Linked DNA regions of Caenorhabditis elegans. The protein of the gene in region 3 purifies or fractionates together with the protein of the main gene of each other region. This does not show direct contact. Each region holds a gene or a part of one and is shown on either strand. Other genes may lie near its edges.

The links.
Region 1: the proteins of K11H3.3 (region 3) and tmed-10 fractionate together in Caenorhabditis elegans (co-fractionation; one large-scale study listed by BioGRID). This does not show direct contact.
Region 2: the proteins of K11H3.3 (region 3) and ZK1320.9 fractionate together in Caenorhabditis elegans (co-fractionation; one large-scale study listed by BioGRID). This does not show direct contact.

Annotation. Positions count from the first base shown.
Region 1 is NC_003283.11:11,319,739-11,331,047, forward strand, and holds tmed-10 (GOLD domain-containing protein), read right to left. Parts: upstream 7,227-11,309; 5' UTR 7,209-7,226; coding exon 7,104-7,208; intron 6,984-7,103; coding exon 6,921-6,983; intron 6,871-6,920; coding exon 6,546-6,870; intron 4,666-6,545; coding exon 4,544-4,665; 3' UTR 4,227-4,543; downstream 1-4,226. Other genes in the region: F47G9.4 (putative RING finger protein 207 homolog), read right to left, coding at 1,013-1,552, 1,692-1,886, 1,935-1,973; str-141 (Serpentine receptor class r-10), read right to left, coding at 2,584-2,663, 2,711-2,888, 2,937-3,065, 3,157-3,298, 3,393-3,527, 3,575-3,653, 3,749-3,830, 3,903-4,082; F47G9.6 (DUF1968 domain-containing protein), read left to right, coding at 9,662-9,836, 9,882-10,145, 10,228-10,372, 10,422-10,853, 10,903-10,906.
Region 2 is NC_003280.10:9,680,400-9,691,388, forward strand, and holds ZK1320.9 (Acetyl-CoA hydrolase), read right to left. Parts: upstream 6,315-10,989; 5' UTR 6,313-6,314; coding exon 6,257-6,312; intron 6,207-6,256; coding exon 6,100-6,206; intron 6,047-6,099; coding exon 5,894-6,046; intron 5,848-5,893; coding exon 5,686-5,847; intron 5,577-5,685; coding exon 5,499-5,576; intron 5,455-5,498; coding exon 5,044-5,454; intron 4,341-5,043; coding exon 4,075-4,340; intron 4,027-4,074; coding exon 3,841-4,026; 3' UTR 3,689-3,840; downstream 1-3,688. Other genes in the region: ZK1320.13 (Purkinje cell protein 4-like protein 1), read left to right, coding at 428-502, 2,430-2,500, 2,547-2,607; nlp-11 (Neuropeptide-like peptide 11), read right to left, coding at 9,446-9,565, 10,399-10,554.
Region 3 is NC_003281.10:9,844,036-9,854,334, reverse strand, and holds K11H3.3 (Putative tricarboxylate transport protein, mitochondrial), read right to left. Parts: upstream 2,482-10,299; 5' UTR 2,449-2,481; coding exon 2,417-2,448; intron 2,370-2,416; coding exon 2,100-2,369; intron 1,758-2,099; coding exon 1,239-1,757; intron 1,187-1,238; coding exon 1,069-1,186; 3' UTR 501-1,068; downstream 1-500. Other genes in the region: gpdh-2 (putative glycerol-3-phosphate dehydrogenase 2), read left to right, coding at 1-31; mrpl-36 (Ribosomal protein), read left to right, coding at 6,225-6,326, 6,509-6,640; K11H3.2 (uncharacterized protein), read right to left, coding at 6,768-6,902, 7,237-7,761, 7,815-7,877; K11H3.5 (uncharacterized protein), read right to left, coding at 8,666-8,757, 9,018-9,127. UniProt on the Caenorhabditis elegans protein: Transport of citrate across inner mitochondrial membrane.

The DNA.
Region 1 (11,309 bases), on a different chromosome or scaffold from region 3:
AGTCGGTTGGTGCAAGATCTGGAGAATATGGTGGATGCGGTAAAACAGTCCAACCAAGATCTTGCAGCTTTTGGAAAGTCTTCTTGGCGACATGAGGCCTAGCATTATCGTGAAGAAAATATAGTTTTTCATATTTTCCGTTGGTCTTTTCTGCAACTCGGTCCAATTGGGCACAATAGTAATCAGCAGTGATAGTTTTATTAGTTGGCAACAATTCCCAGTGCACGGGTCCTTGAACACCCCACCAGACACAGATCATAATCTTTTTTGGGTGAAGATCAGGCTTTGGCGTCGGTATTCCTTTCTCACCGATCGGAAGCCATTGACGTTTTCTGGAATGGTTAACATAGAGCACCCACTTCTCATCTCCAGTAACCAGATTGTTCAGCCAATCGAACTTTCGACGAAAAGTTAGAAGTTGAGTACAAACGTTGACCCGAGTGAGCTTCTGTGATGCCGAAAGTTCATGAGGCACCCAAATTCCAAGTTTTGAAGTAAAACCAAGGCGACCCAAGTGACGTGCAATTGTGCTATGACAACACTCAAGCTTCTCTTCCATTTCACGAAGACTAAGACGAGGCTCTTCCTCCACCAGCTTCACTAGGTCTTCTTCATTTAACTCTACCGGTCGCCCAGAACGTTCTATTTCTTCGAGACTGAAGTCGCCGTTCTTGAACTTTTGAAACCAACTCTTTGCTGTATTATAAGAGAGTGCTCCCTCACCCATCGCACCGCATATGTTTCGTTCCGCTTCCATTGCTGAATGACCAAGACGAAATTCATAAAGAAGAAGCAATCTAACGTCTCGACGTTCAAGTTTGATGATTGTCATCGTGGCAAAGTAGAAATGGATGAAATGAATCTTTTCTGAAAGGGGACGACCCGACCTTGACACGACCTACGATGAAAAAATTTTAAAACTTTCTAGAAGTTTTGGAAAAATATTTGAAAAAAAGTACAAAAACTTATGGGACAACCTGATATTTTAAAATTAAATAAATTAATAACTCACCATAACTGCTTCGATTTCTTTAATTTGTCTTTTACATTGTTCATCACTTTGCTCCTGTTGTTTCACTAATTCTTTTGCCAATGTCTCCCTTGTTGTCATTACAGTATCAATAATTTGCTGGCATAATTGATACAAAGAAGCTCTCGCATCGTCAAAATTCGATGCATTCTCATCAAGAACTCGTTGTCTTACATTCAGTTCTTCTTGTCGCTCTGACTGATAAAATCGAAGTTTTGCCGCGGATTGCTCGATTCGCTCCAGACACAACCTATGCCCCTGCTCAATCGAAATGAAGCTGTGCCTTTCTTCAAGAGGTCTTCCATTAAAACATTGAATACATACAAGTTTTCGAACATCCGAACAATATAGGATATACGGCTCATTGTGGTCCTTACACAGTGAGGAACTGTAGACTTTACTTCGTTCATCGGAACTTATGATTTTGTGTGAGGAGAACATTCTGGCTTGATGAGTCACATTTCGACACACTAGACACAAAGATTGTTGACAAGTTTCACAGTAGAACATGGGAAGTGAGATCTGAAAGTATTTAAAGTTAAAAGAACAAGTAACAACTAAAACAAACAGGAGAAACTTATTTGAAAATTAGGATTTACAAGTTTTAAATTTTCAACTCCAAAATAATATGATATGTAGACAAACAATTGTAAATACCCACCTGCTCACAATTTGCACATTCTTCCATTTCTTCCTTTGAAGCATCTAGTAAAAAGGCAGCCAACTTGTCTGGATGTGGTGTATGGCTTCTTGATGTAGATGGTATTGGAGAACATGATTTGCAACTAGGTGATCCAGTTGAACATTTCCTACATGTTGTATGCTGACAACTGAGAAGTATTGGCTCTTCGAATTCCTTAATCGAAGTTACTTTTAGACATCAAGTAATCATAATTAAACTTACATTTTTACAAATCGTACATTGAAGAGGATTCTCCTCCATTTTATAATTAACTGAGGAGCACACAAAATAAAAAAAGAAAAAGAAACAGCAAGGTGAAATTACACTCAAAAAGATGGGGAAGTCGGCAAGGGAAAGTAGACTATAATTGAGAGAGTGCAGAGATTCAGAGACCACCCCACGGGAAGTTGCAGGCACCCGAGCACAAATCGATTGAAGCTTTAGCGACAATTGTTATATTTACGTTAGAACGAACGGAAACTTGTAACCACACTGTTCTTTGTTTACTTATCACTAAAGTTGGCAGTAGGTTTCTAACAAGTTGGTTTTTTGTGTTCATAGTTCTTTCGGGAAGGCTACAAGAGAAGTGAGAACTTTGATATTTAAAAAATTGTGATTACTTTCATTCGAGGGATAATTTTCTCATTTCAGAAAACTTGAAGCCAATGTTTTTTACAAGTTAGTAAGTTGTATTCCAAGTAACATTTTTATTAGATCGATCCTTAAAGTCTATTGAGATCAAGTATTATCATATTTTCAAAGAACCAGAATGAAAATATTCATATATGTATATAGTCATATGAACTTTATTTTTAAAAAAAAGTAGAGCATGCAAAAATAGTAGGAAACGTTATACTTAAAATATGATTGTTTATTTGATTGCCATCTGTGTTCCACTAGTACTGTACACACTTATGCCATTTGGACCAACACGAACTCTCCGGAAGAAATCTGAAATTTGTGATAATTCTCACGATAAGAATACTTATTAAACTTACTAGCTATAGTCTTTCTGAAGTCTTTTATACAATAAATTGCAATTAATGGTTCAATTGCAGGATACAAAGACATACTGGCACTGGGATAATTCACATACGCACCTAATCCCATATCAAAAAATGGGAGAACAATGAAAAGACCCACTGGGATGTACATTGTTATAAATGGGACAATAGTCTTAACATTTCAATATTTAAAATATATGTTATCATCTAGAAAACATACCTGGATTGATAACATTATATAAAGCTGCCTGTTCAATTCCAGAGTTCTTTTACTCATATGACCTTTTTCTTTTTGCATTTTTAGATAAATTCGTAACGCGAAGAAGCAAATTAAAGTTGTTAATGATCCCTAAATGTTTGTTACTTGATATTTCTATTTATACAAAGGCACAGAGCAGATGTATGAGTTGTGTTCTGGCAAAACTGGTATGGCAACTTACAATAATTCCAGTACAGACTAGTGCAGAGGCTGCATCTTTAAATCTCCAAACTTTCTCTCTATTTGGTCCATTGTTCCAGTACAACGGAGCAATAAAAGATATCATCATTGAATCTGATTCATACATATTTTTAAAATCATCTCTGAAATTAGGTGTCAGAACTGATTCATCACGTCTAGAGGCCACGTTTTCAAAAAGCTACTGAACTACTCATGGACGCTGAAATTATCACTAACTTCAAATAGATTCGTTTTTCCATAGTCGCAGACATTCCCCAAACGACAAGTTCAAACCAGAGAATGTATGTAATTACGCATGGAATGAAGATCAAAAATATTTTATATCCATCGAAATAAGATAACAGACTTTGTCTGAAAAGAGTTTCAATCAGAAATTTGTTGAATCTATTCAAGAAAACCTGCACAATGCAATGTATCTGTAGAAAAACTGTGCCGCAAATACAGAAATCAAAAATCCAAAGGTACCACAATGAAGACCTGTAAATTGTTGTTTTCACTTCAATAACCAAAAAAAGAGGGAAATTCATTTTTTGTTTAAGAGTTCTATGAAAAGTAAAATGTTTAAAACTAACAAGCAACTACATTTCCAATGCCTTGAGAAAAAACGTTATTATCAAGAAACACGACAAACATTGGACCTTTCATGTATAGTACCTGAAAGACGATTATTTGAAGTAACATTCTCAAAATTTCAATTTCAAGTTCCAATTTTCTATTGTATCGTACCGGCTGTGCAATTATCTCTACTGCAGAGTACAACATCGAACAAAATGTGAATACAAACATAACATGACGGTAACTACCAAACAGTTTTCCAGCTCTTTTCACAATTAATATTGCCAGAACAGTATTGAAGATTTGTGCTCCGAAAAAGCCGGCGTAGTGGAAAATATGTAGACCGATCATTGTTGTAAGTGAACTGGTGGAGAATGAAGTCTGAAGTTATTTCTGAAAGGATGACGTCTGAAAAAGACTTCTTGAAAAGTGATCTTATGTACTTTACTAAATCACCATATGGTGAGTAAATTACCAATTGATGTTTCAATGTTTCAATTTAAAAGTTCATAATAATGATTTTAAAAAACGGCAATGATGAAAACAGAAAAATAAGACGGAAACATTACACACTATACATTTTACCCTTTGTTGATACTTGTGCAGATTAACGGGGGAGGAAACAACTAAAATCCAACAAAATAAAATACTCATTATCATCATTATCTAGTAAAAAAGATGTGGGAACCAATTAGAAATCACATGAAACGTTTGGGTGTGTGGACAAAAGAGATGTTGGGGGAAAAGCAAGAAGTTGAGGAGAACCGAAAAAAAAATTGATAAATTAATCATAAATTAAGGGTTGGGGAAATCTAGTCGATAAGCTTTTTCGACTTGAAGTAATTACGGAGGAAAAGAACTTGCCAAATGGCAAGACCAAGAAGGCACAGCATTGAAAAGATGGACAGGTAAAGAACTCGGCTGTTTGTCGATTCTGTAAAAAAAAGTAAAAAATAGATGGTTGTCGATGAATCGAATAATTAGAGTTTGCTCAAGTAAAGTGGTAAACAATTTCCAGGGATCACAATATCCTGCTCCGTGAAGAGAATGAATTGCGTCTCGAAACGATATGTTGTAGCCTTACAAATCTATTTAATTAACAATGATAATAAAAGCTTAATACAGTGCTCCACATAATGATACGGCCACCCCCAAATTTTGGTATAACTCAAAACTGGGTTGAGATAGCAAAACATAATTTCTTGTGAAAATGTCCGCTGTACTGGCTAACTTTCAGATAAGTATTGGAAATATACATGAACCGTTCGTAAAAAAAGATAAACCATTTTTTCATGAAAATCCATATAAAAAAATCCACAAAATGATACGGCCACCCTTGGTTTTTGTTTTCTTTTTTCGTTTTCTTTGCAATTTTTTTTTGCTAAACGTTAGGTTTTATGTTCGTTTGTGTTTTTACAGCTATGTGTCGTGGAATAACTTTAACTGACTACGGAAAAAGACGAATTGTGCAAAATTATCTCAAGGCTTTTCGGATCGTCAGATTTTTCGTGATTTGAAACGTTCAAGAGATATGATCACTCGATTTGCTTCAAATCCTGCCACTTATTGCACCAAAAAGTCTTCTGGTCGCCCACCACTTCTTTCTGGTAGAGACAAGCGAAAAATCGTTCGTCTAGCATCCAATTGAACAGTGACTTGCTCAAAAATTAGGCGCGAGATGAACCTGCCAGTGTCTGTTGAGACTGCACGACGTGTTATTTCGAAGTCTCAGTTTATCAAAAGACGAAAATTAGGAAAGGCTCCTTTCATTACCGAAAAACACTGCCAAAGTCGTATTCAGTTTGCTAAAATCAGCCAGAGAACTAACTGGAGACAAGTGAGGATTACGGTATGATCATTCAAGCTCATGTATTGGTCTCAGATCATCTTCAGTGACGAGGAAAAGTTTAACTGTGATGAACCAGAAGGCTACCGTGATTACTGGTACGATTTGAGAGAAGAAAAGATGAACTAAAACCAAAATTGGGCTTGAATGATCATACGGTAATCTTCACTTGTCTCCAGTTAGTTCTCTGGCTGATTTTAGCTAACTGAATACGATTTTAGCGGTTTTTTCGGTAATGAAAGGAGCCTTTCTCAATTTTCGTCTTTTGATAAACTGGGAATTCGAAAGAACACGTCGTGCAGTCTCAACAGACACTGGCAGGTTCATCTCGCGCCTAATTTTTGAGAAAGTCACTGTTCAATTTGATGCTCGACGAACGATTTTTCGCTTGTCTCTACCAGAAAGAAGTGGTGGGCGACCAGAAGACTGTTTGGTGCAATGAGCGGCAGGATTTGAAGCATATCGAATGATCATATCTCTCGAACGTTTCAAATCACGAGAAATCTGACGATCCGAAAAGCCTTGAGATAATTTTGCACAATTTGTCTTTTTCCGTAGTCAGTTAAAGTTATTCCACGACACATAGCTGTAAAAACACAAACGAACATGAAACCTAACGTTTAGCAAAAAAAATTGCAAAGAAAACGAAAAAAGAAAACAATAACCAAGGGTGGCCGTATCATTTTGTGGATTTTTTTATATGGATTTTCATGAAAAAATGGTTTATCTTTTTTTACGAACGGTTCATGTATATTTCCAATACTTATCTGAAAGTTAGCCAGTACAGCGGACATTTTCACAAGAAATTATGTTTTGCTATCTCAACCCAGTTTTGAGTTATACCAAAATTTGGGGGTGGCCGTATCATTATGTGGAGCACTGTACTTGGATAATCGGCAATGCATTATTTTTAAATTAAAATAATTACGAACCTTTTATATGATTCAAATGATTTTTTAAACACTTACCGTTCGTATTTCTCATTTCTTCCTCTCTTTGGCGCATGAATGCGAAATCTTTGGTGATTGAATCAGCCATATCCTCCAATCTTCTAAGTTCAACCTCGAGTGGCTTCAGCTTCTCGGCTTTGGCAATATCATCATAATTCTTGGCTTCGACTCCGTGCTTCAAAATAAGAGAAACCTCGCGCTTCTCTCCAGGATGCCCAGCTGGTGGATGATTCTCAATGCAAATCTCAAAGATGTCGTATTCGTCAGCAGTGAACGCGAATTTTCCTTTTAGATCAGCAAAGTTTTCACGTTTGTAGAGAGTGTGGCCTCTGGTGTCGGTGACCTGAAAATAAATTAAAAATTTGAAGTAATTTTGAAACTATTTTTACTCACGTGAATACTTCCAGTGTATTGAATTCCTTGACTGAACTCATATTCTCCTGTTACGACCACATTCTGCAAGAGGTTTTATTAGACATAAATTCTGATGTTTATTAAATATATCAATTTTTAACGAAAAAAAGTATGTTTGACATCTTTACTGCTATGGTAACAAGGAGTTGTAAAAGTATTTACCTTGTGAATTTCCTCTTTCAGACACTTTTTCTCTTTTGGTGGCACGTAGAACCTCAGAGAATGGGCAAGAACGATAGCTGACAGAAAGATAACTAGAGATTTCATAATTGTTCGGATGATTACCTGGAAATAAATGTAAGAAAAATGCGATAATGAATATTAAGTTGTTCAAAAGTTATCATGGACAAAAATCAGTTCATGTTAAAGGAATACACAGCAAAAATCAATACAAACGCCGAAAATAAATTTAAAAAAGATGGAATTAAAACCAACGCGGCGTATGCAGTTGCGCGTGGGATCGAGTGTGTACGCAAACACGCATTGGCAACCGTAGTTGAGTTGTCAACGTTGACAAACGCATTTTAACAGGAAAACACAGCGCCTCAAATCGGGAGAGTTAAGAAAATCGAGAATAGGAAAGTCCAACGGAGCGCGTTTGCACACTTTTACGGTATTAAATGAGTTTCAGACGAAATTTCGCGATTATTCGAGTTTTCAAGATGAAATTTGGAAAAAATAATTAAATATTGGGATTATTATTGCTTTAAAAAAGTTTTAAAAAACATTTTATTCAACAAATTCACGATTTGGCTGCTTTTTCATTGATTTTCGAACCGACTAGAACAAGTTAACTTTATGACAAAATTTCTACGCGAAACAAATTTTTTCAAGCATTAATATGTTTGATTCCAATTTTTAAACGTCAGCTTGATAGAGATAACACGGTTTCACGTCTTGAAATTGTTCAAAAATGCCCACATCAACGGAAACTGTTTAGTTGGCAGCTGATCTTCACTAAACCAACACTAAATGTTCAGATCAAATCACAACTTGTTTGATCATTTGAAAAAACATTTTTGAATCATTGTTTCCCACAAAAAGCAGATGATAAGTAGTATAGCATGATGAGAATCCATTAGATTCTTCATATGCGCATAGCTATAGATACTGTATCTTCGACAACTCCTATCTCCTCAGAGATGCAAGATATCAAAAAGTGATTAACTAGGAAATTGTAGAAACTATACTAATTAGTTAAAATCATGTGTTTATCTCTTAAGATGAGGGAGTTAGAGCAGCCAGTAGAATAACAAAAAGCATGCAATACAAATGTACGTCTAACTCCCCCATCTTGAAAGATAAAAACGCAGGTTAAATTGAATATCATAGTTTTTGATGTGCTCTACAAGTTCTCTCACCTCTCCGAGTAGATAGGAGTTGTCGAAGTTGAGGTATCTAGAGCCGTAGAGGGCAGGAAGAACCTGATGGTTCCTTATTAAGAAAAAGAAAATATAACACGAAACTTGTAAAAAATGTTAATTTGATCATTTATGTGAGTATTTGATCCATTTTTTAAGGAAAATTGGAGAGCAACACTTGCATAAGAAATTTGGCGTGGCATAGATCCATTGGTAGATTGGAACATTGAAATTTGATCAGAACTATTTGTACTTTTAGTGATTTTGATTGATTTGTAGCTTTATTCTAGTGAAATCTTTGATTTCATACAAGTTTTTTAACCAATTTTGCAAGATTTCCCTTGATAAATGTTGCTTTACTTTTTTATCGATTTCGTTGTAAAGAAAAATCATTTTCTGTGTTATCAGTCAAATTAATGACTAAAACACTTTAAAAAGATTCAAACTATTAGTAAAAATTCTAAAATTGAATATTTATGCAATAAATTGCTCTAAAATCAATTTTTATTTGCAAAATTCTGTTTTTGGTCAAAAAAAATTTTCAGATCCGCCGAAATTCAGAGCTCATTTCGAGCTTATTTGGGGGAAAATTTATATTAAAATGAAGTAAATCGCATCGCGAACAGTCTCTGGGCGGTCCCGCATGTTGAAAATTGCTTTAAAATCCCTAAAATCCAGCAAAAACGCGATATTTTACTGTTTTGTTACACATTAATTCCAATTCGTGCGACGTCTGCAGCAAACGCGCTCCCGCGCCAAAACCACTTCTTTAGCTCTTCTCTCCCGATCTGAGGCGCTGTGGAAAATAATATTTAAAGACATGTTTGCTTTCAAGAAAAGACAAAACCTATTTCTTATGAATGCAAATGAACTTTGCACGTATCTTAATATCTCACATGCAAAATTGTGCTATTTTTAAGCCAAAAATACGGTACCGGTCTCAACAAAAATTATTTATTCAATACGGGAAGATGTGCGCCTTTAAAGAATACTGTAGTTTCAAACTTTCATAGTGCTGGAATATTATTAGATCTTCCATAGTTTTTCGAAAAAAATATATTGATTGATTAAAACAACTAAAATAAAACACACAACATGGAAAATTAATTGCGAAGTTGATAAGAATACGAAAAATTTGCGGTGCATAAATTGCTGAAAGCGTCCTCTTCAACCCCTCATTCAACAAAGTGTTCATATTTTTATTCCATGTAATTTTCTAACTTCCTGTTATCTTTCTTTTGTAAATGAGATGTGATGAATATGCATTAACAGTTCATTAACATGATAACAATGCCACGAGTTTACTGTAGGTGTTTTGTTCTGTGATTTGGTAGTTTACCGGATCCTATAATACAAATTATGAGGCTTCTCATTTTTCTAATTTTTAATTATGCTCTTTTCAATGTTGAATCAAAGAGAGTCATTCAACAAATTGTCCTTGAACCGATCTTTCGATTCGCTGATACAAATGCGTCACCCATGAAGTCAGTATTTTTCATCAAACTTTCCCAATCGGATGTTCTAAATAATATTGGTATTTTGTAATATCCCTTCATATTTATATCTAAAAATAATTAAGACTTCAACTCTCAATCTTTCAACGCAGTTCGTGGATTCACAATGGAAATGTTTCTAAAAGATCTTAACTGTAGTGTTGACTCGTGCCAAAACTTTCCCCAAAAGGTCAGAGCTGTGTATCACGTAATAGATCGGGAAGGGAGATCTAAGTTCGAGATCTCTCCAGCTTCAACTGATAAACTTGTGGCGAAATCGGGTTACTTATCAACAGAGTGGATGGTGGGATTGCATAAATACAATGAATATTTTTCCGAAGAAGACAATTGTAAGAACTCATTCTCATAAAGCAATGATTTGTTATACTAACCTGAAAACTTAATTTTGAGTTAAATAACTTTTTTTTTCAGTATTTGCTTACACCAATAACTATTTCCCAGCTCAATATTACGGCTGTCAGTATCGAGATCATATGAGCATCCACTACAAATTTGTAAGAACTCTTGGTTACGCATTTGAGCCTATATCAATCCCTACAAATTTACCTATCTACTCGTGAGTTTTCAGCTAAATTCTATATAAGCCAACCATTAATGCATTACAGTCTAATTGAAACAGAAGTAGAAGATGATGTTACGACTCCGTCACCATATGTCCCTAAATATATCAAATCCGCTCCAATCGACTTATTCAGGCCTGCTGGTACTCGCCCTCAAACTAAATTCTCAGTTGGAGGGGATTTGAAAATAGTTCCACAATCTCAAAGTGTTGCAAGAGTTAATCAAACAAAGGCATGTGCATTTAGTAGTCAAATAGTTCTGCAGGAACTTGAAAAATGTGGAAAAATAACAACAATATTCCAATGGGTTAATCAAGAGCAAGGATTTCTTAGACTTAGCACGGATATTGCTATGATTGTTCCAACAACTCCTGTCACATGGCTCGGAAAGTTTGGTTATGCATTCGAGTCAAACGATGATAATAAATGTGATTTCCCATTGGTACCATTAGGGAAATGGAAAATATTAATGTTGGAGTAAGATTCCAAATTCTAAGTTTCCAATTTTTAATTTTTCCGTTTATAGGTAAAAATTTCGGCTGGCGATGAGGATGAAAATGCATTGAAAACCTCTGGATACACACCTACTGGAAGAATTATGGGTTACGGCATTAACTGTGATGATCGAGTTGATGGTGATATTCTTGCAAACTATCCAATTAATTGATTTGTATTTCTGCCAAGCAGCCTCTAATAAATGCCGAGTGTGGCGACTCCGCCCCTTTTTCGCGTTTTTTCGCGTTTTTTTTGGCTTGCGAAAAAATGTCACACTTCGTTTTTCATTCACAACTCCTGAACCGTGTGACTTCATGCTCTAATATTTGAAATCCTACTAGAAATATTTTGCCCCACGGTGGAGCAAAAAACGGCACTAAGTTCGGAGCAAAATTGAGCCCAGGACGGCTTTCCCCAGTTTGAAAAAAATTTTTGTTG
Region 2 (10,989 bases), on a different chromosome or scaffold from region 3:
AAGCGTACTGTAGTGGTTTTTGAAATCTCTTCTTCATTGTCTTATGATTTTATAGTTTTTCACGAGTATGAGAAATAATGGGAACAGTCAGAAAGTTAAAAAAAAACGACAAAGACAGCTCAAAATCTCCTACAGTAAACTTAAAGGCACACACAAAATATTGCGCGTCAAGACCCAACCGCACGAATCCTTCTCCCTTTGAAATTGTAGAGAATGTGTATTATAAGCTTTTGAAAAAGGATTACTGTAGTTTTATTTTTGAGGTCTCTTTCTCACATTTTTTCCTTATCAATTCTTCTTCTTTTCTTCTTTTTTTGTTGCCTTATATATTATTTCAAAAGTGTTTCTAAACAAACTTTTGTTCCATCCGAAAACAAAACCTTTTCTTTATTTTTTTCAGGAAAAAAGGGCGAAAAGAAGAAAAGAAATGTCGACGTCTTCCGGTGCCACTACAACAATTCCCCAGGAGAATGGAGCAGCGGGAAGCACGTCCAACAATCAGGTTGGTTTATGGCCAATTTCTTGATGCAAGTGAAATTGAATGGGAATCAAAGAGGATTTGTAGAGCTTTTGTGCTGAGCTTTGAAAAATGTTAGGTCTAAGCTAGAACTTTCTCGATGTATGAATTTCTGAGCTACAGTAGTTTACATCCTTTTTTTCTTTGGAATATGAATTGTATAATAGCAGGTGAAAAATGCCGGTTGTCACGTCAAAAATTAATAATTCAAACAAAATATGGAGAAATAAAAGCGCAGGTGGAATTACATACAACATAACCATTGGCAAATATGTTCATTTTGGTACGAGAAACTTTGAAAAAAATGTTAACTTTTAAAATCAAAATAAATGTAAAATTATTGGGAAATATTTGATTTGAAATTAATTTGCTTTTTTTTTAATTTGGAAAGCATTTGAAAAACTGGCTGTGAAAATATAATTAGCTTTTACTCGACAAACATCAACTTTCAAGCATTTTTTGACACTTTTTTCAAACTTTTTAATAAAAATGAAAGTTATTTTCAAATGAATCAAGCAGTTTCCTATGTTTCTATATTAACTTTCGATTCAAAAAGTCTATCTCATTCTCAAATAAGCATTTTTGTAGGTTTGCTTACTGAAGGGTAAGTAAGATAGCTGATTCATTAAGTATTTAGAAACTATCATATATTATCCGGAATATTATTTAGTTTGTGCAAAAAAAGTATATGGGAATGCTTCCAACAAATGCCGAGATATACATACTTCTAACTGATCATTATAAAAACTTCATATAACGGAGATAATTTCTATCTTACGGAGCGGTGGCATATGAAAAATTGTTTTCCATGCTTCAAGTTTGTGAAAATTCTAAGAAATATGGCTGAGATTTAGTTAAGTGTGTTGCAGAAAACTAAAATCTGGCAGTTTTTCATCTTAAAATTCGGAAACTGGTCTTTCTGCATATAGCAAGAAGTTATCTGAAAACAGTACCCGACAAATTTCTACAACTGTTTTACTGAAGGTGTGCCAAAATAATTGTTTTCGTGATACGACCCAACTGACAGCGGACCATATTCAATAGCAACTTTGCAGCTGCTACAAACATAGCGAAAATGTTGAATTTTCCTAGTTTTTGAAACGAAAGAGAAGAATAAAAAATAGAATTCCCAGGACAGGTGGCTCAGGAGCCCTTCACTCACGATTCTCATCATTTCAGACATCCGTTTTTTAAACATCACACACCCATCATCAGATAGTGAGAAAATGTGCGTAAGGGGGGAATTGTGTGCCAAATTGCTTCTTCTTCGTCCTTTTTCGCCGTTTCTCGGCACTTTTCGCATAAATATACGCTCACGAGCAAATGGATTCGGAAAGGGGAGGGAAAACTCATTTAGAAGTGAAAAAAAGGAAGCAGATGGAGGAGTAGATGCAGAAAAAAAGAACCTTATTCAAACATTTTCGAATTGCACCGGGAAGTTGGAAATTATAATGAGAAAGGGAACTGGAAAAATACAGTACCGCCTATTAAATACACCTCAACTTTTTCTGGAAATTTTTTGATTTTTATGATCTTCTTTCTTTGAATATCCTTGTATGTTTTACCTTGGATAAAAATGATAATAAACTAAAGAACATTTAACAACTACCGTACTGATAAAGACGCACACGGATTTTCGCAGACGATATTCGAACATTTTCCAATTATTGAATTTGGCTGCAAACGTCAACTTTCCATCTACAATATTCATACACATTTAAGTACATCATGAGAATTATTGATGTTCCAGTTTGATCAAGTTTTCTTGGAAATTTTCTGAATATTTCCGCTACTGCTATTTATAATTCATGAGCATAACACATAACTACGTGAGATTCCAGATAAACTAAACATATTTTTGTTAGTCTAGTTCAAAAAGTTTTAGCTTGCCCGCTAACATATATTTTTTCAGGAAGAAATCGACATCAACTTGGAAGATCCACAAGTTCAAGACGCTGCAAAGAAAATTCAAAATGTGTTCCGGTAGGAGTGCTTCAACCTCCTTTCCCCAAAAATATGATTTTTTCAGAGGAAAACGATTCGGAGCCAAAGCCGCTGCGCCGGTAGTTGCTGCCGTTGATAAGCAATAATTTGATAATCTATTGTGAATAACTTTATAATAAAAACTTTTTTAATTCAAAAGACCAATAAATGTTAATAAAGTGTACGAATAAATGATATAATCCTTTCAGAGACGTTTGTCGTGCCATCACGATATACGAGGAATATGTAAAATGTGCAGACGGTGCTCGAGAAGCTGTGAAAATGTTCATGGATACTAATCCGTCGTACACTGGAAAGCATCTCGTAGAATTTGCCGCGAGATTGTAAGCGGATGGTTCCAGAATTGGATATTTGGTAAGTCTATAGTAGGCCTTATATTTGATTAGAGACATTTGAACGGAGACAAAGTTATGAAAAAAGGTAATTTTAGGATTTCTTGGATCAAGCAAAGGTATCTCACCCTATCACTTCAGAGAACGTCCCCTTTTGGCTGGAAACAATTCGTCTCCTGACTTCACTGGAATGCCCCGGCCTCATCAAAATGCTCGCTGGACAATGTAGTTAGCATTGGGACGGAACAATTCAACCTCCAATTTGTGGAAAGTTGCCTATGAGGCGATTGGTGGAACCCAGAAAGAGCTTTTCGATATGTTTAAATGTGGAATCGATCATGAGTCCAAGAGAGCAAGTCAAGTTCCACCATCTTCGGGAGTTGCTCCACCATTGATCATTCAAGCCTATCCAAATGCACAACATTCGGTAAGATACCGTTTTTAACTATAACGTTTTATGTAGTCGAGTAATTCTTACTATGCTATTAGCACTAAAATCCTCTTAAATTGTGTTGGGTTTCAGGGCTCCGATCCGAACATCCACCACGGATAGCCACATCGATGAACAAGTGATTTGAAAATTGTACGTGATCGTGATCGGTTAATTGTGTTTGTCCCACCACTCCCCATCTTCACATGTGTACTGTTCCCACTTGATCACTTCCATCTCTCTTTTTTTTTGTCAACTTTAGAATTGCCTCTGATATTTCTTCATGATTCTTTTCCTGTATGCTTTCATTACATCCATGTTTTATAATTGTAGATTCCACACTCGCCCGACTCTCCTTCAAAATGTTCAGATAACCTCCAAATAAATTATTGTAGTGTGAAGTTTCAAAAATAACATTTTTATAATTTAACCTATGTGCAATAAGAAAACACATCAGAAGTCGAACCGTATAATACAAAGAAATGAAAACTAGATTTAATCGGGCACTCGGTAACCATTATACCCAGTAGTTGAGGGAGCTGCAATTGATTCGCTTCTCACGCAGATGGCATCACTTTGAATCGATCAAATGCAGCCTTTTCGAGAGCTTCACGATCATCCGGATGAGAGATTTGAATCAACTCATAGGCTCTTTGACGAATTGATTTTCCCCATAGATTGGCGATGCCATGCTCGGTAACGATGTATCTGGCATGTGCACGTGTCGTGACCACTCCAGAACCCTGAAAATTGAACTTTAACCTTCAATATAGCTTCCGTTTATAACTAACCTGTGTCAAGAATGGAACAATTTTCGTTTGTCCCTTAGTGGTTCTCGATGGTAATGCAATAATCGCCTTTCCAAGTCCATCAAATCCGTGTGGACTGGCAGCCATAAAGTCGACTTGTCCACCGAATCCACTGAAAAAATTGCGTCCAATCGAATCCGATACGATTTGTCCCGTCAAATCGATTTCAATCGCTGAGTTGATTGATGTCATTTTACTGTTACGGCGGACGATGTCGATATGATTGGTGAAGTCGCATGGGGCAAAATCTGAAAGTATGATTGGGTTTTTAGTTGGAAGATGGAAAAAATCGAATTTTTTTTTTTTTGGGTTTCTGTAGTTACAATTTTTTTTTGATATATTTCTTGATCCAAATTGAAAATTAATTTTTTAAAAATTTTTCTGATTAAAAAAACAATTTTCTCTGTAACGGTTCTGATGAACACATAATTGGGACCAAGGGTGGCGGTTTTTAAAAAGAAAAATCGAAGGCTTTTCGTTTTTCAATTTTTAAAAATTTGTATTATAAAATTCGATTTTTCAAAAATTAGCTTAAAATTTTGGTCATTGTTTTTCTTTTTAGAATCAATTTATTTATTTATTTATTATCAATAAAAAACAAAATTAGATAAAAATCATATTTTATGGTTAATTTTCTGAACATTTTTTTTTCGATTTTTCCATTTTTAAAAAATTCGAAAAATCGGAATTTTCCAAATTTTCGAGATTTCGTTTTTCCCTCATCGGGACATTTTTGAATTTTGGAATTTTTTTCGTTTTTACAAAATTTTTGTATTTTTCCGATTTTTCTGTTTCGCTCATAAAACCAACAAAAAATATCTAAAAAATTTTAAAAAATCGTTGAATTAATTTTAACAGCAAAAACGGATATCTGTGGTATCCTTGCACAGTTCTAAAGTTATTTTTAAAAAAATTAAAATCACTTTTACAATTGGTAAAATAAAAACTTACAAAACTCTGGATTATTATCGATTTTCTTATAAAATTCCTTTGTTCCAAAAGCAAACGAGGAAACAGTTTTTCCTGGCATAAAAGCCTTCTTTTGATTATTAATAATTCCACGATCAATCAAATCAATAACTCCATCACTAAACATTTCCGTGTGAACTCCAAGATCTTTGTGCTGCTTCATCGCTGCCAACGCCGAGTCTGGAATTGCTCCGATGCCGAGTTGAAGGGTGGCTCCGTTGTCGACAAGGTTCTCGGCAATTATTTTTCCGATTCTTTGTTCGGTTTCAGACATTTCTTCTCCACCAGACTGACGGAAAGCGATTGGTCGATCCGTTTGAACCATTGCAGCGAAATGAGAAGAATGGACAGTAGTGTGGCCTCGGGTACGGGGCATTGTGCTGTTGACAAGGGCTGAAAAAATATTTTTTTGCAACTTATTGATTATTTATTTTTACCAATAATTTTTTTGGCACTAGTCGCTGCAGCCAGTGTTGTGTCAATGTCGACTCCAAGTGTACAGAATCCGAGCTCATCTGAAATAGAAAAAAAAACAAATTTTTAATTTTTATAAAGTTGTTAATCACAAAACCCTGTTTTCGCTTTTTTTTTTATGGCGACTTTTAATCAAATTTAAATTCTTACCAGGTGGAGAGACAGTAATCAGTGCAAAATCAACATTCAATGTTCCACTTGTGTATAAAGAGGGAACTTCAGAGAGGAAAATCGGAGTGTAGTCAGCGGCGCCCAAATTAACATTTTTACGATTTCCCGGGCAAATGAACAGGCTGTTGTTTTGAATTTTTCCTGAAAGCAGTAAATTTAAAAATTAAAATACTTGAAATTGACTCACCGTGATATTTAGGGTCGAATTGTGGGCAATTTCCGCTTAAAATTAGATGAGACATTCGGATATTGTTGAGATTTGCCGAATCAACACGACGACAAAGTGCTTCGAGAAGAACATTGGGAGCAGACGCATGGTTTCCAACGTAGATATCAGAATCTGAAATAATTTGAATTTTAGAGATTTTTAATTTTAATTTCTCGGATACAAACCTGAATTCACCATCGCCAAGGCTTCATCTGCCGATACATATTTTGGCACGAATCCAGGTTTTGCGTGCAATAATTTTGTTGGTAGACGAGGCCCATTTGTGAAATGCCTGAAAATCACAGTTCAAAAAATTATCGACTTTTGTAGAAGAACACTAACCTTGAGAGGGAAATAACTGAACTTTTAGATAGTTGCTTGGCCAGTTTCAAGGACATTTCTGCAAAAATGGAAACAATTAAAATATTTTTTCAATTGAATTGAGAAAAAATCAAAAAGAAAACTCAGTGAATGATAAAAGAAAAGCTATCGAAACCTCACATGTGAATGCTTTTTCAATGTTCTATGTGCTCCACCTCCTTCAGTTCTTCCAAAACATTTTTCTCAAATTTCTCTCAAAAATAGAATCACGAGGAGATGAGAGAACAAATTAAGATCACTGATAACACATCAATGAATCAGTTTTTCTTTTGACAAAACTAGAAAAAGTTCGAAAACCCTACAAAAACTAGAAATTGTTCACGAAAATCAAAAAATCGCTTCGAAAAAAAATGTTTCCAAACAAACGACACTCCGATATCCCGATGGAATGTCGGTGTCTCTCGATTTCATGCACTCTCTAATAGTGTAGTCAAGCGTTTGATTTTTGGATTTTTGAACTTTGCGGGAACCCGGAAGAGTTAAATTTTGACTCAAAATAATAATGACAATTGGAATGAAAATATAATTTGTATCGTGATTTCACTAGATTTTGACGTTCCTTCTTAAAGGCGCACGGATTTATTCAGATGGGTCTTGGCGCGCAAAAAGTTTACGGTAGCTACCATAAACTTTTTTGCGCGCTGGGACACTTCTTAAGAAGGAGTTTAAAAATCTAGTGAAGTTACGATATATGTACTGTCACACGGACTAGAAAGCATAATAAAGAACCAAGATTTACAGAATTTTTCGGATATTGAACGAATATTTATGCAATTGCCTACATGCAAAACATCCGAAAACATACCTTTGTTCAATAATACAAAAAATGTATAGACCGCACGGGAAACTCGTCTTTGACCAGAAATGTTAATTTGTGATTGTTCAGCTCAAACATCGAAACACCTAGGATCCCTTCCTAACTTTCACAGTCCCCAAATCCTTTTTCTTACCGAAATGTATACATCCTGAGATCTTTATATTCAGAATATCCTATTTTGGTTCTCGTGAACAATTTGTTTTATTGCTCACCGAAGTGCTCACCCAAACGACTATTTCGAACCAATTTAAACTCGGTTTCCCAAATTTTCTCGTCAATTTTCCACTTTGTAGTATCCTGAAAAGTGTCTATCTATCACTTTTCTCGAACGGCTATTTTTGGGGCTATTGGAACATTTAAATTTTTTGTAGAACACCTTATGCTCTGAACTTTTAAGAAAATTTTGGATAAGATGCTTGATATTCTATTCCATTCAGGATCATCAATGAATAGCATTCTCCTTACGTTTATTGTTTTTATGAATTTCTTATAGAGTGAATTTTGTGCAAAATTAATGTGGGAAAAATAAAGAAGCGGAAAAGTACAAAACAACTTTGTTTTCAACGTATGGGATAGCTTTTTCTTTGAAAATTTTATAGAGTTCATACACAAAAAAAGCGGTCTAGAAGCTTCAGTTCATTCTGAAAGTTGGCAGATAACATCTAGATCCCTTTTCGTATTCCAGGCCCCCATGTCTGCAAGATGTCTGCAAGTCTGCAAGAATACACCATTTGACATTATTCGCAGTAAACCAAATGTGCCAAATAGTGCGACAAATGTTTTGTCAGTTGACAGCATTTTTATTAGACAACTGAAATTTGAGCTACAGGCTAGAGTTTGGAATAATATGAAGTGAAATTTTAACAGCGTCTGAGTACATAAACACAACGTAGCTCAGCAACGAAAAGAGATACATGAAAATGGTTAACTGAAGAAATGTAGCTTTTAACATGTTTATTGATTTTGTAATGTTTTATTTCTTCTAACTTTAAAGTTTCTTAAGTGAGCGACGGTCAAATTTAAAAATAACTTTTCCTAGCCTTTTTTGAGATTGAGCATCATCAACATGCGACAACAAGAATGTATGAAAATATCAAATAGCTGTTTAATATCTAGACACATCAAAGCAAATTAATACCTAAACTTTAAAAAAAATTGAAAAATTAAAAAAAAAAATTTTTTTCTTCAGCCATCGTGAGAGTTTGAAGATGGGATATGTTTTTAAGGTGTCCAATATGGCTGATATTGATAAGCAAATATGTTTGCTTGTAGATATAGTGTTTGAAAGTGAAATACTTTAGTAGCTATATGTTTGAATCAGTTAGCCATAATTGTGTGTCATCAAAACAAAAAGGAGACGATATGTAGTCGTAAAACTATAAACGAGTGTGGGTATTTACAACCTCACTCTGGGAAGAAATATTTGAATTCTGCAATTAGTTTATTGTTGTTTTACAACCATTTCAATCAAAAATAGCTAACAACTAAAAGCGGAGTTACTTTTTGAGAACGGTCTACAGCTGAATTTAAATCAATTTCACTACAAATGAATACTCTCGAATTTGATCCCTAAATAAAACCGATCAAGCCACTTCTACAATAAAAAATGCTGTGTTAATTATTTCTTATTCAAAATATCTGACCAGAAATAGTACTTAATAAGAATTCCAATGAAAAAATGAATAAAATTATAAAATTTTCTGAAAAGGTAGTATTTAAGCAACAAAAGTAGTATTTTAGCAATGGCAGTATTCTAGCAATAGTAGTATTCTAGCAATTTGGTAGTATTCTAGCAAAGGTAGTATTCTAGCAATAGTAGTATTCAAGCAAAAGTAGTATTAACACAAGGTAGTATTTCAGTATTTGCCAAAAAAGTTCATTTTGAAAATCTTTATTTTCGTACTACATTGATTAAAAATGTTTCACATTTGATTTTCAGACGAGCCGCCCGGATTTGGAGAATATATCCCAATTATTTTTGCACCAAACTTCCTGTTATTTGTCTTCAATTCTTTCCCATGATTTTTGGCGTGGGTGGGAGCATATCAAGTTTCCGGTTTTTTTGCTCGTATTTTCTTAAGAGCTCATTATTTTCCATTGTTATTATGATTATTTTCTTATAAATATACTAATTTTAAAGTGGTAGTAGTGTCTAACAAAACACTTTATTCTCGTCATGAATAGGAAGAGGGCGGAGGTGGAGAGGGATGTATGAACAAACTTTCAGGCAAACCTGAAAGTCCGGCCAAGTTGGGCAAAACTTTAAATTATTTATTGGGAAACAATTGTCTATTTGGATGTACTCGTTGGTATGGTATTTTATTTGTTGATGTTTAACGACGTCCGGCTCGTTCCAGAGCTTCCGAAAGTCCAAAAGCATTCTCAAATTGGTAAGCTGGAGAAATTGCAGGGCTTCTCTTCTTCTTTCCAGCGTCGATCAGACGGTTGTACATCTGAAATTACGGAAGAATTCAGTCAAAAATTAATTGTTTTACGGCACGGGTAACAAAAAAATTTCAATTAAAAAAGACTGGAAAAATATTTTTTCAAGTATCTCCAGAAAATAAAACTTTATTTTATGACTTCCGAGGTCCATTAAAATTTTAAAAATATATTTTCCAAATTTTCAAATAGCCATGGTAACTCCGCATTATCAATTCAATTTGCGCATATTTTTTACAACTGAAAAGTTCAAAAATAGCTCAAAAACATGAAGAAATCAGAACAAAAATAATTCATCGCCTCAATTATCCAATTATCCCATTAGTCTCTCTCGTCGCAACATCTAGTATTTCTCTTCACCCGTGTTCCACGTCACCCATAGGAAATTGAACTTTTATGCTCCATTTCTATGTCAAATCCTCTACGCCCATACATTTCCGTTTTTTGCCGTTAGGAAAAAAAGATGCACAGAATATTCTTCTTCAATGTATGCATTCTAATTCTAGAGTAACAACGGAGAATATGGGGAATGGAGGAAATGAAATAAAGGAAGAGAAGTGATGAAAAGAATGAAATCACGAATGGATAGGAGCAGAAAAAGAACTGGCGATGGAATGGATAGTGTGGGTGGATGAAAAATGAACTCAGAATAGATAATTCTGGAAAACAAGAGCGAAGTCTGAATATAAAGAACTTTTCCACATTTTTTGGAAACTACAACCATGCGCGTTTACAATAAAAGCCTTACTAAAAATTTGTGCTTCACTTTCCCGAGCAAACTTACTATAAAATTACACTTATAGATACTCTAGGGTCATTAAAGAAAATTCAACTATAATCTCACCTGGAACTGATTTCCATAGTCGCTTGCCATTGGAGCACTTCTCTTGCCAATATCCAACAAATTTCTCATGTTTCCAGCGTCGATTTCTACGTCGTATGATGGTGAAATATGTCGTTTTGATTGGAGTGGTGCACCCTTGAATTGTGATCCTGGGGCCTGGAATTGAAATTAATTGAAGATGCAGATGAACAAAAAACTCTTAATGCTCAAAACGTAACAAAATCTATTTTTAATTGATTATCTCGATATAAATATGATGTAAGGGTTAAATCCTTTTTCTTTTTCAGATTTTTTTCAGATCCCCAAAATAATAGTTTTGTAAAATAGAAAGACCTACATGCGCACGATTTGAAAAATATTTAATTCTTTTTCTGCACCAAATTCGTAAGACATGTCACTATTTTAGCATCTTTCCGTTTCTCACGTATCTAGATTCTTCATTCAAAGTCTAATTCAATTTCACTATTTCTAGACGACTTGAAAATTCGTAATTGAAACTTTTTCCCGCTTCTCGTTATTTTCAGTACTACGGAATCAAAGAACAAGTTTAATGATTTTGAGCCTGAGCACTTCCAGATTAGACTTGGAAAG
Region 3 (10,299 bases):
TTGTCTCAGAAACCATCCAGAACACATGTAAATATCATTATAGGTTTCGCAAATTTCAATTAGGATTATTTTCCTTCCTTCCTAAATATTCTTTGTTCGCGTTCTCTCTTCTCATCTTTTTTCACAAATTACGAGTTTATTGAGTTATTTTTTTATTGCGTGGCACTGTGCAATGCCTCGTTCTAGCTGCATCACACGTCCACAAAATTGTATTTTTATAATTATTTTTGTGTCAAAATGAACTTTATTGCAATTTTCGAGATATTTGTTGAAAGCATAACCTATAAAAAATATTCGACGAATTGAAGATAATTGGTCTGCTAATTATTTAGCAGAATCAAGTATGGTCTACTAATTATTTAGCAGAATCAAGTATGGTCTGCTAATTATTTAGCAGAATCAAGTATGGTCTGCTAATTATTTAGCAGACCAAGATTGGTCTTCTAATTATTTAGCAGACCCGTATCTCAGCACAGCGCCACAAAATTGTATTACTATAATTATTTTTGTGTCAAATTGAACTTTATTGCAATTTTCTAGGTATTTGTTGAAAGCAGAACCTAATTTGTGAAACATATGCACCAGTGTGAAAAAAAATTGGTGAAAAGTGACTTTCGGATTGGCAAAAACATTTTCGGGGGTCGTGAAGAAATATCATATCACAGAATACGGAATACGTGGCAATGTTAGGATGAAAACTGAGAAACTCGAACTATTTACATCTACAGGGAGGGTATGGTGAGCAGTACTAAATAATAATAAAAAATGGGGGAAGCTGTTAGAAATTTACTATATTAGGGATGGGCGGCAAGTCTTCGGTATAATGACCCAATTTTTTGAATAAAAAAATAAAAAAATAGAAAAAATTTCGATTAGTTTGAAAATAACATTTATTTTATTTAAAAAGGTTTTCAAAAAAAAAAGTTATTTTCAAACTGATCAAATATTTTTCTATCTTCCATCACTTATGTTTTATTGCCGCCCATCCCTACTTTAAATGCTATTCAACTAGATTGGTAAGGGCATGAAAGGAGTTGAACAAAAAACACGACACGCCTAGAGACGGAATTATTGTTGTTTCTTCCAATAAACATCAAGGAATTCAATAATACTGTCATAGATCATGAAAGTGATTCCGACGTCGAGGCAGACTCGAGAAAGACGAGGTACTGTTCCCTTGTAGAAGCTGAAAATTGTTTTAATAATATAAATCTGGAGTTAATTATTCCAAAACTCACGCGAAGAATCCTTCTTTCTTCCAAATTTGCATTGCACAATCCAAAGTATTCTTGTACTTTTTCGCTTCGAGACCTTGCATACGAGTTTTCACTACATCAATCGGAGTATTTCCATAAACAGAAGCAGCTCCAGCAACTGCTCCCATAAGTCCGACGATTGGTTTTGAGATCGGTTGAGTATTGTCACCACCACGATACCAATCTTTGAGAGTTTCCATTACAAAGAATCGAATCGCTTGATTGGATCCTTGTTTGGCCATTGTTGCAGTAACTCCTTTATATATACCACCAAGTCCTTCTGCTTTTACAATACATCCAACTCCATGCACAAATCCTTTGTATTTTGGTTGAGCAAGTCCTTGATCATGAATAAATTTCACTTTTACAGTTTCCATAGGTGTTACTGCAAATACGGCTTCAGAGAGACCAGCTCCCAATCCACAAAGAAGTCGCATTACTGGAGATAGATTTCCTCGTTCATCTGCTGCTTGAGATTTGAGATATTCGAATGTTCCGAATCTAGAAAATGTATTATTTAGAGCGTTTTTTCGGAAAATTCGAAAACTAGATTTCAATTTTGACAATTTTTCTCTAGTTTTAGAAGTAAATTGCACGCTTTCGTATTTTTTTAAACTACAAAAATTGATACAAAATTTTAAAATTGTTGAAAAATTTCGATTTCCCGGAAAATCAAATGTTCCGAATCTGAAAATTATATTATTCAGAATTTCTGATAATTCCTAGTTATAAACAAGGATGTCACTTCTCCGTTTCTCGATTGCAAAAAAATTCGAAAAATTAAAAAAATTTTTTTTGACCGATCAGTTCTGTTTTGACAGTACGAAAGCGTATTTTCCATACCTGAATGAAGATTTTGGAATAGATCCGTAGAGAAGAACAGATAATCCTCTGTAAAGACCAAAGAATCCATGTCCATTCACTGTTTGTTTTACACAATCAATTGGTCCTCTGAATTTTGGAGTAGCAGACCGTTCATCAAGTTGAAGTTGTGTCTTGACATATTCCGTTGGGAATGTAATACAAATCTCAATACCACCAGTGATTCCTCCAATCACAATTCCACGAACCGTCTTCTCTGAAGGTCCGTATTGCTGCCACATTGACAGAGGCCTGGAAAAGGAAAAAATTAATGTGAAAGTGTATGGAAATTGGCTCACTTGGCTCCGGGCACTGGCTGAATTCCGCTCATTTCTGTGAAGACGTGCGCGCGGAGATGGGGACCCTGCAAAAGATAGTAAAATCAAAAGAATTCAGGAGTAAGGAAGAGAGATTTCGTGCAAAAAAAGAAGAAGAAGAAGCTTTTCACAGATTCAAAAAAGAAGAAGAGGCACACAAACAAAACCGGCAGAGAAAAATGAGAAGGAGCTGGCGGAGATGTGAGGAGAAAGACGGCCGGATGACGAACACGTCAAGGCGCTCATAGGGAGCTGAAGAGCACGAGGGGCGACCGGAAAAATGCAAGTAGGGAAGGAAAACGATGAAAAATGGACGAGGAGAAGGAGAAAGTCTATGCGTTGGCAACTTTTACATCTAAACAAACAAATAAAACTGAACTAGACCATTTTGGATTGTAGTGAACGAATGAGCAAGATTTTAAAATTAACGGTTGATTTTTTGGAATTAAAAAACCAAACTTTTCTCAAGCTTCTAACAAATTTTATAGCTGTTCAAAACCTCGAAAACAATGAAGTAAAATAACGTTACTATTTTTTTTAATGGACTATAATTTACAATTTGAAAAGTTCGTGAAGTGGAAAACTGAAATGCGATCCATTTTCCTCTCAATCAAAGAATCATGCCACTCTCTTCCACTCCACTCGCATCTGAAACCAGAGAACTATTCCAGAGTTCGCCGATAAGACGACTGCATTTTGAGGTGGGGTGAGGTGGGAGAATAAATAAGTTGAAAAAGAATTTTAATTTTAGAATATTCTTAGATTTAAATGAAGCAAATAGTGTTTCGACTTCATGACCTCCACGGGCGAGTCACAAACAAGTGAACCATCGATTGAAAATAACCTATTTTGGAAAAGAGAGGAAACACACGAAATTGAATAGAGAGGGACAATAACAGATTGGTTAGGTTCTGTGATCATTGAACAAAATGAACAGTTTCGGTCAGATTTAGAAAAATTCCTGTAATAAGACGATTGTGGGAAATCAGGAAATTTTGATAAACATTACGATTTTGGTTGAGGCTCAAGATTTTGGGTGAGGCTCACCATTATCGATAACCATTAAAAAGTCTCAATAAATACTGGATATAACTCTTTAAAAAATTTTAGAAATTTTCTAAATTTTTTCAAAGAAAAAGGGCTAAATTATTTATCCCGCGCAAATTGATAACCTAGTTTTAAATGTTTTGCGTTTTCAGACATTTTTCCTCCAAAAAAACCAATTACTCTAGCCGGAAATAGTGCAAAATTAGGTCTTCTTTTTTCTGGTAAATTCTCATTAAAAATTAGAGGAATTCTATACATTTTTTTACTGTTACATTTGGTAAGTATATTGGAACTATTTTCTGTCATGTTCTGGGAGAAAACTACAGAAAATCGAAAAATTCAATTTTCATCTTATGAAAACGAGCTTTTGTTTGGCAAACATCAAAAAATGAACTTTTAACGGTCTCACGTATGACCTGATCATTTGCGCAGACACCTAGATCAGGGTCTCTGGGATATTTCATCCAATTAATAGGCGGAGTATAGCTTGCAAGGGCATCGGAACTTTTAAGATATTAAATATGATAAGAATGATAAAAGATGATAATTGAACTTATTGGAAAAGAATGACAAATAATTCCTGTTTGTTCAAAGGTAAATAAACAATTGAACAAAACACACGAGAAATTAGGGTTTTTCGTGACTACAAATCGAGGTCAAAAAGGAATGACATAAGTGACAAAAATGTATTTGATAACGAAATTACGATGCGGCAGTAAATGGGCAAAAAAAGAGAGCTTGATAGCGGGAATCGATCCAAGAAGGAAACAATCGGCCCAAGGTTATTGCAGGAATGTAGAGAAAAGATGGATGGTAACTGAGAAAAACGGATATGAAAGGACATTATTGTGTCGCATCAAGAACTACACGTGGGCAGAATAGAGGGATATATTGGAAGATAACTATAGTGCCTATAGGCTAGACAGGGGTCGATGATATCGGAAAATATTGAAGGAAATCCATAAAATGAATAATTCGAGGTAATTACTAGACTAGACTAGGCCTGAATCCGGAACAAAACATTTTTTTTTGAGATCGAAAAACGAAAAAAGTAAAATTTTTTAGACAGAAACACGAACATTTTTGGTTGAGGCTAGGAATTAAGTTGATGCCAAGGGTGGCATTTTTCACTTTTTCGATGTTTATACGCTAACGGAATTGCACACCTGGAATCACTCCGGCCAGCGGAGCGCACTTGCACACCCCCGCTTTTCTCACTGGTTTTACTCCAGCTTGTATTCTTTAAGGGTGCCTTCATAAGGAACGTTCGATTTTCATCGAATTTACAAAAAAAAACTTCACAAAGAAAAAAACAAAAAAAATTAATAAAAATTTTGGAACTTTTTTTTTCAATTTTGGGACCTGACGTCTAAGCCTTTTATCAGAGCTTTTTGAGGGGCTAAAAGTTGTCAAAAAATAAGTTTCATCCGGAAAAAAAAAAAGAAAAGTGAAACTTTAACAAAAAAAAAAAGAAACACCCTACATAGAATCGAACCAAATAGTGTTTCTACCAAACGGAGCGCGCTACCCACTGCGCCAACTGAACACAGAATTTCACACCATTCTTGGTGAAGATATAGGAAAGCCGCTGCAGCCGCTGTAGTTTGAGAAAAGCGGGGGGTGTGCAAGTGCGCTCCACTGGCCGGAGTGATTCCAGGTGTGTAATTCGGTAATCCAGATGTTTATCAGGAAAATCAAATAATTTTTAAAAAAGCGAATTCAGCTTCTATTTTTTCACGACTTTTCGTGTTTTCCTAATGAAAATGGAAAACTTAGAACACAATCGTACTATTTATTCAATAAAAACATAGGAAAATGAACGAACTGATTTTTGAAGTTATTTATCAGAAGAACGGGATTTATGATTGTTTTTAAGCGTTATTGAACTGATATTCAATTTAAAACGCATTTACAAACCTACATATAGCCTTTGAAATAAAAATCAAAAGAAATTAAGTAAAATCATGAGAAAAAAACGAAAATCTCCTAAAATCTAAAAATGAATTTGTCCGAGAGTAGTACACGGCCGAGGATTCCACAAATCTTATTTTAGCGCGAAATTCAAATTAGATAAACGAAGCGAATGATTTTCGGCACTTTGAATCCTCTAAACTTCTTCTGGTTGAGGCATTTGTGTGACATTTCGAGGATAATAAATTCTTATTTTCAGTTTTGTCGACAAAAGGAAAAAGGAAAAATAATAAAATTCACTTTTTTTTCGTAAATTGAATTGTAAATTGAATCTTGAATTTTACATTGGTTCGTTGATCATGAGAAACATAGAATAGTATTACATGATAATCAAACTAGAAACAAAACAATAGCGCTTTGAAAACAAATTTTAAGAGGTCTAGAAAAGTGTTTCCGTTGCAAAATTTCACAAAGCCGGCCGTTTCTTCAAACATTTACTGAGAAAACACAAAAAACAAGAAATCAAAAGAAAATTAAAAAATAAAAACGCCAATTTCTCTGAAAATATAAAAATACAGTAAGAATATTTAAGCACGGCGCTGTCTTCTTCTCCCGAGAAGAGTCGTCTGACTGATGCGATGTCTCTGCGTCTCCACTCTCTCATACCTGTTTCAATTGAGCGCACTTGCAATTTCTTTTTTTAATGTTTTTTTCTTTTTCTCTGGTTTTTTGATTAATTATTTGTTTCCTTTTTCCTTTTCTTCAAACTCTAAGATTTTTTGAACATTAAAAATACAAATAAAATACTTAATAATTTCATATTTTCAGCAAAATGTCCGGAGTATTAAACCGAACTCTTTCGCAAGGAAATTCCATCATCCGGCAACTTCTTGCTGTCAGAAATCCCATGTGTCAGGAAACCGCTGGATTTAAAGTTAGTTTTTAAAAAGTTAATTAGTAGTTCGTCGAAAAGCTATTCAGTTCAAAAATCAAGCTTACAGACGAAATGTGAAATAAAAACTAATAAAAATATAATGTGAGAAACCCCCGCATTTTAAAATCAAAAATCATATTTTTTCTCAGTCTGGTTTTTTTTTCTAAAACTTTAATTTTCAGGTGAAATCGCGTCTGAAGTTGCGTTGCCGCAGTTGCTACTTTCTTCGTGTCGAGGGTCGTCTTCACGTAGAATGCAATGAGAATCCCCGGCACAAGGCTCGTGAAGTGTTCGATGTGAAGAAGCTTTGGTAATCTGTCGACTTGTTTTGTTATTTCTTTATTGTTTTAGGCCACTGTAGCACTAATAAATTTGTATTTACGAAGGCTTTTTTATTTTACACAATACTTTATTCATTAATATGGCTCTTTTTTAGAAATTTTAGAAGTTTTCATTCATTTTCTCTTCGATTTTCATTCGTCTCAATCTACTCGCTCGATTCTCCAATGGCGTTTCTCCAGGACGAGGTGATGGTGTCAAATGATTCAGTCTTGAAGCACTGTGGGACTTCAGTGGCTGGAATAAATGTTTTATTGTAAAAAGGCGCAAGTGTTGATTCTGATGGGTCCCGGCGCGCAAAAAGTTTACGGTAGTCTTTTTTTCGGAAAAATTTTTTAAAATAGTGGCTAAAAGAAATTTTATTCAGAAATGCAAGAAAAATAAACGAGGAAGAAGCTGAAAATATTTAAAAAAAAAAGACTACCATAAATTTTTTGCGCGCCGAGACCCATCTGAACCAATCTGTGCCTTTAAGAAAGCATGTCAAAACGATTATGGAAATACGATATTCTCAATTTTATGACAGACACCTCTCCCAAAATCGAGAGCCTCAACCAAACTATTCACAAACCGTATTAATTGTTCTGTTGAGCACATCTTCCAGATACATCGAGTTTGATCTTCTCCACGGAGTTCTAGTAGATTCCACTGTGACAAAAGATTTTTTAGCGTGTTGAGTGGACGAAGCAAATCTTTTAGGTTTCTCAAAAGATTCACTAGATGCTGAAGCAATTGGTGACAGTACATGAAGATCCGAGAACAAAGAGGTTCGGCGACGATTGAAAGGAGACGCAGACAATGGCTCGTCGAGCATCATCGAATATTTTGTAAATGAAGTTGGAGAAGCTAGTTCTGCTCGGGCTTTCTCAATTTCCTCGAATTCCTCAAATTCGATAATCTCATCTTCTTTGTTTTTCTGTTCTTCAATAATTGGTCCGAATACTTTTTGAAACTCTTCCACAGTTTTTACACCAGATTTTTCGATTAAAAGTAGAGCCGAATTTTGTAGAATCATTTTGTAAATTGCACAAAGTTTCGGATCTTTCAATGCACCAGGAGAAGCTGAACGATGTTGAGATTGAGCCCATTCTTCTGCCTTAAAATAATAAAAAATACGTCTGCTTAAAAATTAGAAATCATGAAACTCACTTGTTGTACCAAATCGTTCATTTCGCTGTTCAAGTTACTTTTCAAATTCGGGCTCAGCTCCATTTTTGAGCAGTCGAGCTTAAATCGTTTAATTTCGAAACGTTTTAAATTAAGAATTGATTATTTTTTATAAAAGGGGGGATAAAACATTTCAAGATGTATAAACAAGATATAAAGTTCACGGATTTCAAAAATTATTAACTTCAGTTGTTTGAAAATGTTTAATTTCGCAAATTAGAGAAAACGTATTGTGCAGCATATTTGACGCCCAAAATATCTCGTACCGAAAACTACAGTAATCCTTTAAATGACTACTGTAGCGCCTGGGTCGATTTACGAGCTGGAGCAGCGATAATCTATCCTCCTTCGTTTTTTAGAATTATTTTCTCATTATTTGCTTAACTTTAATATTCTATTCATAATAAATTGTGATAATAAATGATTTTGATTCATTCCAAAAATCGAGACCGTAAATCAACACTACAGTAGTCATTTAAAGGATTACTGTATTATTCAGTTTTTAAATTCAATTAGGGTATATAACAATGAAAATATTCATTGAAATTATGATACTTTAACCATTTTTGAAATATTTTTTGTGTTTCTGCCAAGAAAAATGCAACACTGAACCACGACATTACTTATTTTTTGTATCTCATTAAAATAATTTCGAGAATAAAGCTTCAACAGTTTTTATTCAAATAAAAAATATTAGACGATCTTTTATTTATTATGTGGAACAGAGATCCGTCGTGAATGTGATAACCCGTAATGATTTGAAGACGATCAGTTGAAAATTGTTAAATGATGTGATGAATGTGAATGTTGTGCAATTGAGAGAAAAGATGCTCTCATCGGCCTGGACGAGCACCGATTCCACTCTTGAAACCACTACGATAGTCTTCATAAATGTTTGCTAATGCACCATTTCCATTTGTATATGCTGAAAATGTATTTAATGAAGACATTGGTTTGGGTTACTGTAGTTTCTTTTTAGAGCTTCCTACAAGCAAAAATACCAATTACTCAGTTTTTAGCCATTTCGGAAATCTACCAAAAATGACATTATGGCAAAACTTGGCATATTTTGCAAAACTTTTTCTTGACAACTTTGTAAGATTTCAAAAACTGTGGGGATGATTTATAGTTAGACTAAAATCCAAATTTCAAAATAAATCAAAATATAAAATATTTCAAACTTACATCTTCTCAACTTCTCAATCTTTTCCTCCTTCTCTTCAATATCGTTACTTAAAGTTTCCACGACTTTTTCCAAAAGAGCTTGTTCCTCTTCAAGCATTTGCAATGATTTTCTGGAAAAAGATACAGTTTAGACGTCATTTAATACAAATTAATTAAACAAGAAAACAGTCTAATCGGATTAGGATGGGGGACAAGGTGCACCAATTTTCGTGGAGACACTCCGGTTTCGGAGAATTTCGTTGAAACATGGGACAAAGTTCGAGTGTGAGGAAATATCATTTCAGAATGATGAGAATTCTAGACTAGAAAGAATTCAACTTTTTTGAAAATTTTTCTAAAATTTGAAATTTTATAAACATCCGATTATACGGCATAGGAACACTGTCGTATACCGAAATACCGCGGTGAGACCTAGCCAAAAAAAAGCATGTGCCTTTAAAGAAACATTTGATGATTTCAAAAAATAGTAATATTCAAACTTTCATTCTTCCCTGTCCCCTTGGGTTTTTGAAAAGTCGAAAAACTTGTCATTAAAACAACTCATATAGAAAAACAAGTTGAATGTGTACTATTTCGTTACACCCTAAACATCGGTTTACGTGTTATAATCCGGCAAGAAAGGGAATAAATAGAGGAAGAATTTCAAAAGTTCCAAAGTCCTAGTGATGACCATGAAATGGACGTACTGTGAGCCGATTACCCGGGGGGACACAAGAGTGCTTCTATCACGCATCGCTCGAATTCTTCTCGTTTCGCTGAAAATTCATTCGAGTCAGCTGCGTCTAGAAACGTGACTTTTAGAAATATATTACAAAACAGCTCATAAAAACTATACAGGGACAGAAAGATTAAATGATTAACTCGCGAATATTACCTAAATAACAAAGTATATATTACGCACCCGTCAATTGTGAACTTGCGCGTAAAATATGATGTATTGGATTTCACGCGCAAATTTGAAATTGAGTATGAGAGACTTTGATTTAAATGATAGAAGAATGACCGCTTCTCTAGCACTTTTTTTTCGAATTCCCGCGCAAATGTTACGACCCATTTTCCATCATTTGAATCAAATTTCTCACGAATAAATATAGCTTAAAACTGTAAGTGCACATTTTGTTCCATCACATACTACATATTTCAAAATTAAACCTCATAAAAGTCACAACTGCATTCAATAGAAATACGAGAAAAAAAGTGATTTCAGTTTGAAAAATGGTTTGTCACAAAAATACACAAAAATGACGCATTTCCGACTACCAAAAGACGAGTGGAAGTGTAT